2 linked regions of the Macaca fascicularis genome follow. The protein of the gene in region 1 purifies or fractionates together with the protein of each later gene. This does not show direct contact. Links are inferred from orthologs where the notes say so. Each region holds a gene or a part of one and is shown on either strand. Other genes may lie near its edges.

Evidence for each region.
Region 2: the proteins of PBXIP1 (region 1) and SLC27A1 purify together in Homo sapiens (co-immunoprecipitation; 3 studies listed by BioGRID and IntAct, with this or other methods). This does not show direct contact. The link is inferred for Macaca fascicularis from reciprocal best matches to the Homo sapiens genes PBXIP1 and SLC27A1.

What each region holds. Positions count from the first base shown.
Region 1 is NC_088375.1:106,188,503-106,194,484, forward strand, and holds the start of PBXIP1 (pre-B-cell leukemia transcription factor-interacting protein 1), read left to right. Parts: upstream 1-2,318; 5' UTR 2,319-2,394; intron 2,395-4,662; 5' UTR 4,663-4,698; coding exon 4,699-4,749; intron 4,750-4,840; exon of another isoform or gene 4,841-4,947; coding exon of another isoform or gene 4,948-4,968; intron 4,969-5,982. UniProt on the Homo sapiens protein: Regulator of pre-B-cell leukemia transcription factors (BPXs) function. Inhibits the binding of PBX1-HOX complex to DNA and blocks the transcriptional activity of E2A-PBX1.
Region 2 is NC_088393.1:17,805,595-17,811,681, forward strand, and holds the start of SLC27A1 (long-chain fatty acid transport protein 1), read left to right. Parts: upstream 1-2,684; 5' UTR 2,685-2,839; coding exon 2,840-3,036; intron 3,037-4,568; exon of another isoform or gene 4,569-5,300; coding exon of another isoform or gene 5,301-5,354; intron 5,355-6,087. UniProt on the Homo sapiens protein: Mediates the import of long-chain fatty acids (LCFA) into the cell by facilitating their transport at the plasma membrane.

The sequences.
Region 1 (5,982 bases):
GGAGGAAGATCCGGAGGGCAGGGGTGTTCCCTCTGCTGATGATGGATGCCCCTAACACCTGTGCCTAACACCCCTACCGAGCCCCACAGCTCCAGCCTTAGTTTTTGGAGTCAAGTGTTAAAGGTTTCTGGCCAGAGGAATTGGGGTCTTGCCATCCCTGCAATAGCCCTTTTATGGGCTCTGGGAGACAGCTTTAGGGAATAAATGGGGGTTTTCCCCTTTTTCTACCCACTCCTTTGCTTCTTCCAAGGCTTACCCAACCCCTCCCCTCTCAGAGAACCAAATAGCCTGAAGAAGCAGGAGAGTTCCTGGTTATGGCAGTTTCTTGGTGATTGGGGCTTCAAGACAGTAGGTGAGAGATGCTGTCAGGACATACCTTCCTCATACCAAAGTCACTGGTCCTTTCTCAGCCTCTCTTATGCTTTTCTCCTAATGACCATATTTTTGCCAAAAATTGGGATATGTTATCTGACAGACCAGAATATTTGAAGTTTGGGCTGTCCTGAAAGTCTGGATTTTGGTGGTACCCTCCTCCCCCAGCCCATCTGTTGCACATTATACTCCGTGTGTTCTTCAACTTTCGGTGCCCTTATTCCCCTGCCTTCCTGGCTTGATTGAAGGAAAGCTTGAAAAGGCGCAGAGCCCTTATACCTCATTTCTTCCCTGATAAAAGGATCCAGGTGAGGTCCTGTCACAGCCTGTGGGTAGGGGATGTGGCGGGATCCTCATTGCCATGGTACTCAAAGGCAGAAGAGCCTGGAGTTTGTTGCTTTTCTGCTATTCTTTCATATCCTGGGCCTGGTGATCAGCAATTCTCATTCCTCTCAGCCAAAGGCCTGCACTGGGTTTTATTTGTCCTTTTTTATTTTTTAAGCACTGCCTGCCAGAGACGGGCCTGGGGCCTGATGAGGACCTTAGCGCTGCTCATTCTCCTTTTTGGTTCATGCACACATTCCTCTGTGCGTGGGGAAAGCAGGCCCTCCTCAGAGAAGTCAGGGGTTCCCCGGCTCGAGGTATAGTGGCAAAGACCTAGTGGTCCCCTACCCCCACATCTCTCAGTTCCTGGCATGAGGAGAGAAGACCTTGCTCTGGTGGAGCTGACAACCTTTGAGGCCGGGAGGAGAAAGCAGCCTCTGGGCATCGTTCCCAGTGTCCTCCACACTAAAACGGTGTAGATGGCAACCCCCCCCCCGCCCGCCACCCCGCTGCTCACCTCTTGTGTTTGTGGTTCTGTTTGCCCCATTTATCTGTTGCTATTTTTGTGTTGTCTTCCCCCGCTCCGCATTTTGTAAAATGGCTCCTGGGGGAGTGTCTTTGCTGGATCTGCTCCCTCTCGCCCTCTCACTCCACTACTTTTTGGAAGAAAGTGATGGCAGAATGCGGTGGTGGTGGGGGGTCTTTTGTACTGTTGGATTAATAAAATGACTAAAATCCCAGACAAGGACTCCTTGCTGTTGCTGTGTGAAAAGGCTGGAATGAGCCACTGTCACTGCTGGGTAGGGTGCTTAGGGGTTGAGGATAAGTATACTCCCCAGGGTCCCTGGGAGTGGGAATGGCAGATCTGGCCCCTGAACTGACCCTGGTATAAGCTGCTGAGCCAAGGGAGGCCTGTGTTTCCCCGCCCATCCCCCTGTGTCTCAGCTGTGAGAAACTGAGTTTCCTTTCTGAGCATATTCCTGGTCCAGGCCTGGAGCCAGGAGGATTTGGCACCAAAGCCTCTGGAAGACAAGTGCTTGAGCTCTTCTGGGTTTAGCACCCCACCCACCTCCCAGTTGTTTGGGTTAGGGAGCAAGTGTAGCTCTAAGGGTGAGGGGAGGGGCTACTCCTGTTACAGCAAATTTCATTTTGGGATGTTTTTCAGATCGTTCCCGTCCCCCAACAGTTCTTTTAAAAGTAGCCATGGCATCTTTTAAGCAGTCTGTGCTGGAGCAGATTGGGGAGAACGGCAGGAGGGCTATTTCCACACCCTGGATTTGCGACCTGTCTCTCTCCCTTCCCCCATCTCACAGCTGTCTCTGTCTATCCGGGGACCAACCTGGCCCCTTCGTCATCTCAGAAGACTGCACCCTCTGCCTTTCTCTCAGTTTGTGGGGGAGGGGGTTCCCTCTAGAAACTGTTTAGACACTGGGAAAGAAGGGCAGGAAACTCAGGATACAGTTAGCTGAGACCTCGGTCGTCCACCCGGTAAGCTCAAGTTTAGGGGCCCTGTCGCTAGACCTCCCTTCCCCTCCCCTGACTCTCAAGTCCTTCTCTTATTGGCCAAAAGTTTCCGCCCCCTTGGGGATGTTGACTTTTCATTGGTCAGTTTCTGGTCACATGATTCTCTTCTCGGGCTGCAAACGAAGGAAAGCCAGCAACAAGTTAAGCTGAAGACCGAAGCAAGAGCTGGGTCAGGTAATGCCTTAGCTGGGAAGGGGTCCACAGATTCCCTGTGACGGGGGTGGAATAAGGAAAAGGGAAGGCGGAACTAATCTAGAAGGAATGAGCTGCTTTTGATTTCCGGGCTGGGGGAGGAGGGCCAGGTGCCGACACTAACAAAACAGGAACCCCAGGCAAGTGGCCCTAGATCCTTTGCTTTAGAGGTTTGGAGGCGCAACTGTTAGAAGAGTTTAAATTAACTAGAGACGAGACTTCCTAGCTTTGTACTGAGTGGGAGAGCTCCCCCTTTAGCTGTTTTTTAGAAATAGCAGAAGTCTCTGTCATAATCCTTACAGGAGGTGTTTGTTGAATCCTGCCTGAATGAAAAGAAGGGGGTGGGGGGAGGGAGTGGAGGTGGGTTTTCTTCCAGAAGGTCGATGAAAAGAAAAAGATCTGGAAACACAGCAGGGAAGGGTGGAGATTAGACAGCAGAAGGAACTTCCTAATAAGGCAGTGAGATGCTGGCTTGGGAGAAGAGGGGTATTTTTTTGAATCCTGGGTTAACCTAACCAAGAGAGAGATATCAGGGTTTGGGACCCAGAGTATAGGAGCTTCAGAGTGTCTCCTATTTGGGTCTTATAAGTATTTGTTTTGTTGACCCAAATATCTTTGCTGGTTTCCATGGAGACAGTGGGTCTGACATCACTGTGGTTGCCATGGTGCCTGGTTCTAGAGGACCTGAGCAGACTGTACACACAGCTAGGCATAAACAGGGACTTCAGCCCAAGCTGCTGCCACTTCCTTCCTGCCACCACCTGTTAACAGTCAGCAACTGGGGATGGGGAGATGATGACAACGGCGGGGGCGGAGCCACAAGCGGAAGGCTGAACAGCCATGGCTCTATGGATACTTAGAGATGCATGCCAGGGTGTCCTTTTGGACTTGGTACAGGGAAGTCATTACAGCCATTTTCCTGTCTCTGTGTGGGATGGGTGCATGTGTCTGGGAGGATGGGCATTGGGAAAGACCTATCCAGGACTTGGATCTTGACTGGCAGGAGCCACAGGAGGTTATTTAGGGCACCACGTGGGACTTGAAAACAGCTCAAACAGAAGGGGATAAGGTGGTTGGTTTCGAAGGTAGAACTGCCGTACTGTCCCAGCCTCACTTCCCTTTTCCTGAGTTTCCTTATAAAGTGCTGGGGAAGCAGTCATTTATCCTCTTCTGAAGGATCACAATCCAGTACTCTTGAGAGGTCAGCTCATCTATCCTTCCACCTTTATGCCTGGTCCCAACAGGAGCTGCCTGAGGGAACTGTCTTAGCCTTGGATGAAGGGGCGGATCCCTCTCTTCTTACTCTGCTTTGTGTCAGTCAGGCTTTGGAAACTGGAGTGATTCCCTCCCCTGTCCCTGTCAAGTCAGAGCAGATTAACGAGGTGCAGGACCATAGCCCTGATTTTTGTCTATCTTTTGCAAGCTATAAAGTGGTGTATATATACATGATAGTTGCCATAAATCCATTTTCCCAGTCACCTTCAAGTTCCCTAACACCAAACTCTGGCGATTACTAAGAAGGTAAACAGAATTTATGATGGAGCTGAGAGTGATGAGGAGACATAAAAGGTGCATCCAGGTGGATCTAAGCTATGCCAGTGGTTCTCAACCCTGGGTGCGCATGAGAATCATTTGAGAGGTTTTTAAAAAGACCCACGCCTGGGCCTACACCCCAACTCAATTGAATCAAAATCTTAGGTGATTCCAATGTGCAACCAAGATTGAGAACCATTGAACTAGACCATACCAAGGACTTATGCTGGGCAAGTGGTGGGACATTTAGGGCTGAAAGAGGCCATCAAGTCTTCCTTTGCAGGTCCTGGGGGAGAAGGTAGTGATTGTGTAGGAACCTGGTGTTGGGAAGGGAGGGCAAGGCTTCTTATTGGCAAGTTAAGTCTGTCAACCTTGCTGGGCTTAATCTTCCCTGACTAAAATGTCAGGGGGCTGGACTGGAATTCCCCAGAGCCTTTCCAGCCTATGCTACTTTGACCTTTCAAGGTCAGTTCAGTTTTCCAAGGCCCTGTTGGTCCCCGGAAGAGGCTGGCTTCTCTGTGGCTGTTGGCAGATTCTGATTTGCAAGGCAAATACTGCTTAGAAGAGTTGGGGTATCAGGGAGAGAAGGACTGGAACCAGGCTTGGTTCTGGAGGCTGCTGCCCAGCACTTGAACCTTGGAACCCAGCCAAGGCTGCTTTCTGCATCCTGCCCCTCCTGAAAGGAGCACCCATCCTTAAGAGAGCTTTCTTCTGCAGGTGGCAGCCACAGCAGCCTCAGGGACCTCAGCAACTATGGCCTCCTGCCCAGACTCTGATAATAGCTGGGTGCTTGCTGGCTCCGAGGTATGAAGAGCAGGCCTGGGAACCATGGGGGCAGGCTTGGGGGGTGTTTCTGCAGTGCTGGGCTTCTTTCTTGGTGGGTCCTTTTCCTTAGTCCTGATGGTCACCTGCATCACTTCCTGCTGGCTGTTAGAGGAACTCCAGTAGCAGGAAGAAGGAGATCGGGCCCCAGGGCTCAAGTGTTGGCACTTGGACCATGCTATGAAAGAAGGGACCAGTTCGGTAAGCTGAGACAAGTAGGGAGGGATTTCGAATGGAGAGACCAATGTGAACAAAGGTCCCGAGGCGATAGTGGGGAAAGCCATGCTGGGGGAGACTGTGGGACACCCATGGGTGATGTGGAGACGTGGGTTGGAGCCAGTGTTGGAGTGAGGTTGGGGGCAGAACATCGGAACCCCTGGAAGAGACCTGAAGGGCCTGGCTGAGGCCTTCAGGCCTCATCCTGATGGGAAATCAATGTGGGGCTTTGGGTTAGAGGGATCAGGACAATCATTGTCTTGGGCAGAGGGTGAAGCCACTGTGCAGCCTGGGTGGGAACAGGGAGAGAGTGTTTTGAAGACCCTCTGCAGCAGTCCAGGTAGCAGCTGGTGGGGCAGAAGCCCACTGAGGAGGGAGAAGGGGGCTGGTAGGATGGGGAACTGAGTGGCTAGAGAAGGGATGGCAAAAATTTGTCAAAGGCATCTCTGAGAGTTCCAAGACCTTGCGACTTTGTATATTAGAGCCACCAGGAGGGGAGGAGGGGAGGAGCTCGGTTTCAATATGTTGAGTTTGAGGTGCTCTTGAGGAACCCAGCTGGGAGTAAGGAGTTGACCTTGGGGATGATGCTGGAGCAAGATACATGGATTGGAACTCGCTGGCAGAGGGAAGGCAGGTATGAGCAGATGGGCATCAGGCTCTCAGAGCCCTGGCCTCCTGTTGAGGTGTCTTTGTTGACAGCTGGGGGACCTTGGGCATGCCATGTCACCTCTCTGTCCTCTCCTGTAAAATGGGGGTCATGATTTTTGCCTTATAGGAGGGACCATGAGAATAAAAATGTTTTGAAAATGGCAAAGACACAAGTAAGATGAAGCATTATTCTCAAAGGGATAGTTGGAGCCACGGGGCAGGTGGCAGGCCAGGGCCCTGCGGAAGGGGAGTAGGCAGAGGGAGGAGGCCAAGGCTGTGTGGCCAGGGCTGAATGTTCAGGGAGAGCACCCTGGAGACAGGCTGTCTGTGGTTGGGGTGGGTTGGGCTTCT
Region 2 (6,087 bases), on another chromosome or scaffold:
ATAATTTTGCTACTGCTATCTAGAGGGAGGAGCGGAACGTGAAAGTTAAACAGGAGCGTGACCGCTGAAGCACAGCATCACAGGAGGACGTTTAGGCCTCCAGATGGCTGCAGGTGGGCCTGACTGATGTCAGGCCTTCCACAAGAGGTGGTGGAGCCGAGCCTTCTCTAACTCCCCGGGGGAAAGGAAGACTCCGTTTCCTAGTAGGCTAAGTAATGGGCGCCTTCCCAGGCGCGGGTGTTACCGCTAGACCAGGGAGCCCTCTAGTGGCCGTGTCCGGGCGTGACAGGGGGCTCACAGTCTTGTCTTCTGGTCACTCCTCACCGTGTCTCCTCAGCTCCTATCTCTGTATGGCCTGGTTTTTCCTAGGTTATAATTGTAGAACAGATATTGGAATAAAGAGTAATAAAGAGTAATAGGCCGGGCGCGGTGGCTCAAGCCTGTAATCCCAGCACTTTGGGAGGCCGAGGTGGGCGGATCACAAGGTCAGGAGATCGAGACCACAGTGAAACCCCGTCTCTACTAAAAATACAAAAAATTAGCCGGGCGCGGTGGCAGGCGCCTGTAGTCCTAGCTACTCAGGAGGCTGAGGCAGGAGAATGGCGGGAACCCGGGAGGCGGAGCTTACAGTGAGCCGAGATCACGCCACTGCACTCCAGCCTGGGCAACAGCGTGAGACTCCGTCTCAAAAAAAAAAAAAAAAAAAAAAAAAGAGTAATAAAGAGTAATGCTACAAACTAATGATTAACATTCATGTAGAATCATATCTATATTCTATTTCTAGTATAACTATTTTTATTATATATATTTTCTTTATTATACTGGAACAGCTTGTGCCTTCAGTCTCTTGCCTCGGCACCTGGGTGACTTGCCGCCCACAGAGGTGACCAGTCCGAGGCCACCTGGTTAGAAAGGGGCAGAGAGCAGTTTGGCCCAGAAGCTTGAGTTTTACTCCCTGGTCCACATCTCAGTTTCCTGGGGATAGGACAGTCCCCAATCCCTCATCTGAAATCCCTGGGGACAGGTATGTTTGGGAATTAGGAGATTTTGTATTTTAGGAAAACAACAGGGGGCAGAGGCTGCTGTATACCCGTGGTGCTTTAGGGGGCTCAGAAAATAATACCCAGGCTGGACTCAGTGGCTCACGCCTGTAATCCCAACACTTTGGGAGGCCCAGGCAGGGGATCACTTGAGGTCAGGAGTTCGAGACCAGCCTGGCTAACATGGCAAAACCCCGTCTCTACTAAAAATACAGAAATTAGCCAGGCATGGTGGTGTGCATCTGTAATCCCAGCTACTCAGGAGGCTGAGGCAGGAGAATCGCTTGAACCTGGGAGGCAGAGGTCGCAGTGAGCTAAGATCGGGCAACTGCACTCCAGCCTGGGTGACAGAGCGAGACTCCGACAGACAGACAGAAAGAAAGAAAGAAATGAAAGTAAGAAAGGAAGAAAAAGAAAGAGGAAAGAAGGCAGGCAGGCAGGCAGGAAGGAAGGACCCCAAAATGAAGCAAAAGTTTTTCTCCGACCTTTTCCTGCCCTCTTGTGTCTCAGATCTATTCTCCCTCAAGGCTGGTCATAAAAACTAGAATCCCTCTTTCCCAAGGTAGGTTTTAGAAACGAGAACCCTTGGCTGGGTGTGGTGGCTCATGTCTGTAATCCCGGCACTTTGGGAGGCCAAGCCAGGCAGATCACTTGATATCAGAAATTTGTGACCAGCCTGGTCAACATGGTGAAACCCCATCACTACCAAAAATGCATAATGAGCTAGGCATGGTGGCATATGCCTGTAATCCCAGCTCCTGGGGAGCCTGAGGCAGGAATCGCGTGGACCCGGGAGGTGGAGGTTGCAGTGAGCCAAGATTGAGACACTGCACTCCAGCCTGTGTGACAGAGTAAGACTCCATCTCAAAACAAACCGGTAAGATGGAGGGGGAAAAGGGAGGAAAGGAAAAAAGAGGAAGCGGGGAAGAGAGGAGGAGGGCAGGGAGGAGGAGAGAAAAGGGCAGAAAGAAGAGAAGGAGGGAGAAAGAGAGAAGGAGGAAGTGGGATAAGAGAAGAGAGAATCAGAGCACAAGAAAGGTGGAGGGGAAGTTTAGGGAAGAAAAAGTAGTAGTAGGAGGGGTAAGAAGAAAGGAAGGAGGAGGGAAAGGAGGAGAGGAGGGGAGGAGGGACAGGGAACACTCAGCTGACATTTACGAATGAATGAATCTCAACTCCAAGTTAGCATGATAGCTCCAGTCCTCAGTCTCTTTTTTTTTTCCTTCCTTCCTTCCTTCCTTCCTTCCTTCCTTCCTTCCTTCCTTCCTTCCTCCCTCCCTCCCTCCCTCCCTCCCTCCCTCCCTTCCTCCCTCCCTCCCTCTCTCCCTCCCTTCCTTCCTTTCTCCTCCTCCTCCTCCTCCTCCTTCTTTTTTTAAGACAGGGTCTTGCTTTGTCACCCAGGCTGGAGTATACTGACGCAATCTTGGCTCACTGGATCCTCTGCCTTTCAGGTTCAAGCGATTCTGCGCCCTCAGCCTCCTGAGTGTAAAGGTAAACTGAGGCTGCAGCCAAACCGGGCACGAAGACACAAGGCAAATGGCAGTGAGAATAGCCTTTTATTAGGGCTTGCCGGTGAGGTTCCTCAGTCCAAAGGTGTGGGCCGAGGAAGTCGCGCTGAGGGAGGAGGGTAGGGGCTTTTTATAGCCCGAGAGGTAGGGAAGCTGGTTGTGCAAACAGGGCCTGGGGGGGTCTTGAAACTACTAGGGCAGGAGTTGAGTAAGGGTCATGAGGAAGGGGTCTTTGGAAACTGTCAACCGAAATTGCTGTTTACGAACTTGTGGAATGCAGGTGAGCTGCAGGTCATGGGGGAGTGTGGTTGCCTAGCCAGAACTCTGAGGCATGTAAGTCTGCGGGTGTGTACAAGGGTGAAGGGAGTCTTTAACAAAAGGCCTGCTATGCCGGGTAACGCCGCCATGTTGGGTCTAGATTCCTGCCTAACATTCCGACCTCTTTCTAATAAGAAAATGGGGCAACGTGTTCATCTGGCTGCTTCCTGCTGGTATGGGTCGTCGTGGCGTTCTTCGGAGGTCGGAACTCGGGTATGGGGTGGAGCAGCATCTGATTGAAAGTGACCTGGGAGACTTCTTTCATGCAGTCCTGGATGAAGCGGAGGACACAGGGAGCTATGAGTAGCAAGAAGCCAATGATTAGTAAGGGGCTTAGAAAGGGTAGGACTTAACCGGCCACAGACGACTGCCACCACCTAAGTGAGGGCCTTGATCCGAGGTTTTTCTGGTGGAGTCTTTCTCAAATCTTTTCTAGAGTGAGGAGATTGGTTTCTACTAGTCCTGACTCATTGATGTAGTGTTTGGCCGGGAAGGGGAAAGGAGGGGGTTAGGTTAGAGGAGTTAAAAGGGCTGGGTAAAGGTACCGCAACCAGTGGGGGCTATCTCAGAACCCTTGAGGCAAGACAGTCCAGGTCAGCTGGGAAGAAATATGAGTGTCTGGATCTTCCTATGTAAAAGCAAACAGAAAGTGACAGTCAGATGTAAGGGAATGGTGAAGAAGGCATCTTTTAGGTCAAGGACAATAAAGTGAGTGGTATCGAGGGGAATGCACGAGAGAAGTGTATATGGGTTAGGAACAACTGGAAAGGTGGGGACTACTGCCTCATTGATGAGGCATAGGTCCTGCATGAGACGATAGGCCCCAGAGCTTTTCCGTACAGGCATGATAGGAGTATTGCATGGTGAGTTGGCAGGGACTACAATGTGTTGCTGGGGCAGGCGCATGATGATGGGTTTTAGTCCCTGTCGGTGTTCAAGGGAGATAGGGAACTGGGGCCTAGAGGGAAACTTAGAAGGGTCTTTTGGCCGGATGCGGACCGGAGTGTGGTGCTGGGCAATGATCAGCTTGGAGGTGTCCCATAACTTAGGGTTAATGGGGACTGGAAACAGGAGTGGGGGGTCAGCCTGGCGGGGTTTGTCAGGTGAGAGGAGGGGGAAGAGGAATGTGAGGTGTGGGGAGGGGGTGGGCCGGAAATGAACTGAGTCCCTTAGCTTGGAGAGGAGATCTCGTCCTAACAAGGGGACTGGGCACGAAGGAATGATAAGAAACGAGTGTGAGAAGAGGGAGCCATCCAGGCAGCAAGACAGAGGAGGAGTCTGGCGGTAGGTGGAGGGAGTGCCGTCAATTTCCATGACTGTGACAGTGGAGGGGTAGCTGTGGCCACTGAAGGAAGGCAAAGCAGAGTAGGTAGCCCCCGTGTCCATAAGGAAGGATATGGACTTACCCGCTACCTGGAGCATGACCCTGGGCTCGGCGAGAGTGAGAGGGGTCCCCGAGTCTGGGCCTCTTCAATCTTCATCAGTGTCAAGGAGCTGGGGCGCCTCCAATACCTGGAGGAGGGTCGTCACGTGTAGGCGCAGCGACCATCCTTAGGTCAGGGCAGTCTGACTTCCAGTGGCCCATCTGCCAACAGTTTGGACAGGGGCGAGTTGGCTCCTTTGGGTTAGGGCACTGCCTGGCCCAGTGGCCATCGGTGCCTCACTTGAAGCAGGCACCAGATGGCGCTCGGGGAGTACCTCCTTTCTGGGAGCTCCTGGAGCCGGATGGCCTCGGGGCTGCTACCAAGGCCTGGGTTTGGAGTTGTACCTTCTGTTTTAGCCTGGCCTGTCGTTGGGCCTCAGCTGCTTCCTCCCTGGAGTTGTAGACCTTGAAGGCCAGTTTGACTAAGTCCTGGATGGGAGTTTGAGGGCCTTCCTCCGCCTTTAAAAAAATTTTTTTTTGGACATCAGGGGCTGACTGAGAAATGAAATATGAGGCCAAGATGGTTGCTCCTGCAGGGGGGGCAGGGTCAAGGCGGGTGTACTGAATAAGTGCCTCAGTCAGCCGGTTAAGACAAACAGCCGGATTTTCATCTGCGCCTTGGACTACCTCCTTTAGTTTGTTAAAGTTGACTGATTTGTTAGAGGCTGCCTGCATGCTGGCAAGAAGGCACTGAACCATCATGTCTCGGTGACAGCGGCCTGCCTGCCCTACCTGGTAGTCCCAGTCGGGCTCAGCCGAGGGCACTGCCTCAGTGCCGACTGGCATGGCGGGGTCAGTTAAATGAACCTGGTTAGTGTGCTGCCTGGCTGCCGCTAGGATGCGCTCCTGCTCCTCAGGAGACAGGGTTGAGGTCATAACGACATGGAGGTCATGCCAGGTGAGATCATATGCCTGGCACAGATACCTAAACTCTTTGATATAACGAGTAGGATTGGCTGAAAAGGAGCCTGCACGCCCCTCAACCTTAGACAAATCTGCCAATGAAAACGGCACATGGACCTGGACTACTCCTTCGGCACCTGCCACCTCTCACAAGGGACACAGGAGGTCAGTCCTGGACCGAGTATGGGCTGAGACAGGCAAGGAAGGGGAGGAGGTGGAAGTAGGGGAGACAGAATCTGTCAGGTTTGGTAAGGGCACAGGAGTGGGGGAAGGGTAGGGAGGCGTTGATGAGGACAGGGATAACGGTGGGTCAGGGTAAGGAGGGAGGTTGGGCAGGAGACCGGAGGGGTGGCCGGGATAGGGTGTCAGGAGGCTCAGAAAAAGAGGAGGAATCATCCCCCTCCTTGCTCGAGGGAAGAGACTTTGTGAGCAGAACTTGAGCTAACGAGCATTGGGCGCAGAGATCTGGGTGAGAATGCAAGTCCCAAAAGGCCTGAACATAGGGTATCTCGGACCATTTGCCTAGTCTCTTGCAGAAGTTGGTCAGATCTGTGAGAATGTTAAAGTCTAGAGTGCCTTCTGCAGGCCACTGAGACTGATTATCCAATTTATATTGCGGCCATGCTATTGTGCAGAAGAAAATGAACCGCTTTCGTTTTATGTCTTGGCTGAGACTTAAAGTCTGGAGATTCGCCAAGAGGCACCCCAGAGGAGATTCTCGGTTTGGTTTGGACTGGGTAGTTCCTATGGTCTCAAGGCGGGCAGTCTGGAGGCAATGGGAGCGTCCTCCTACTGCCACGTGGAGTGCGGGGTATGGTGGCTTCTGGGGAGGTTGGACGTCTCCTAGTCCCCGGTGCTGAGGTCACAGCTGACTGGAGAGAGCCCCTGATGCGGCCGC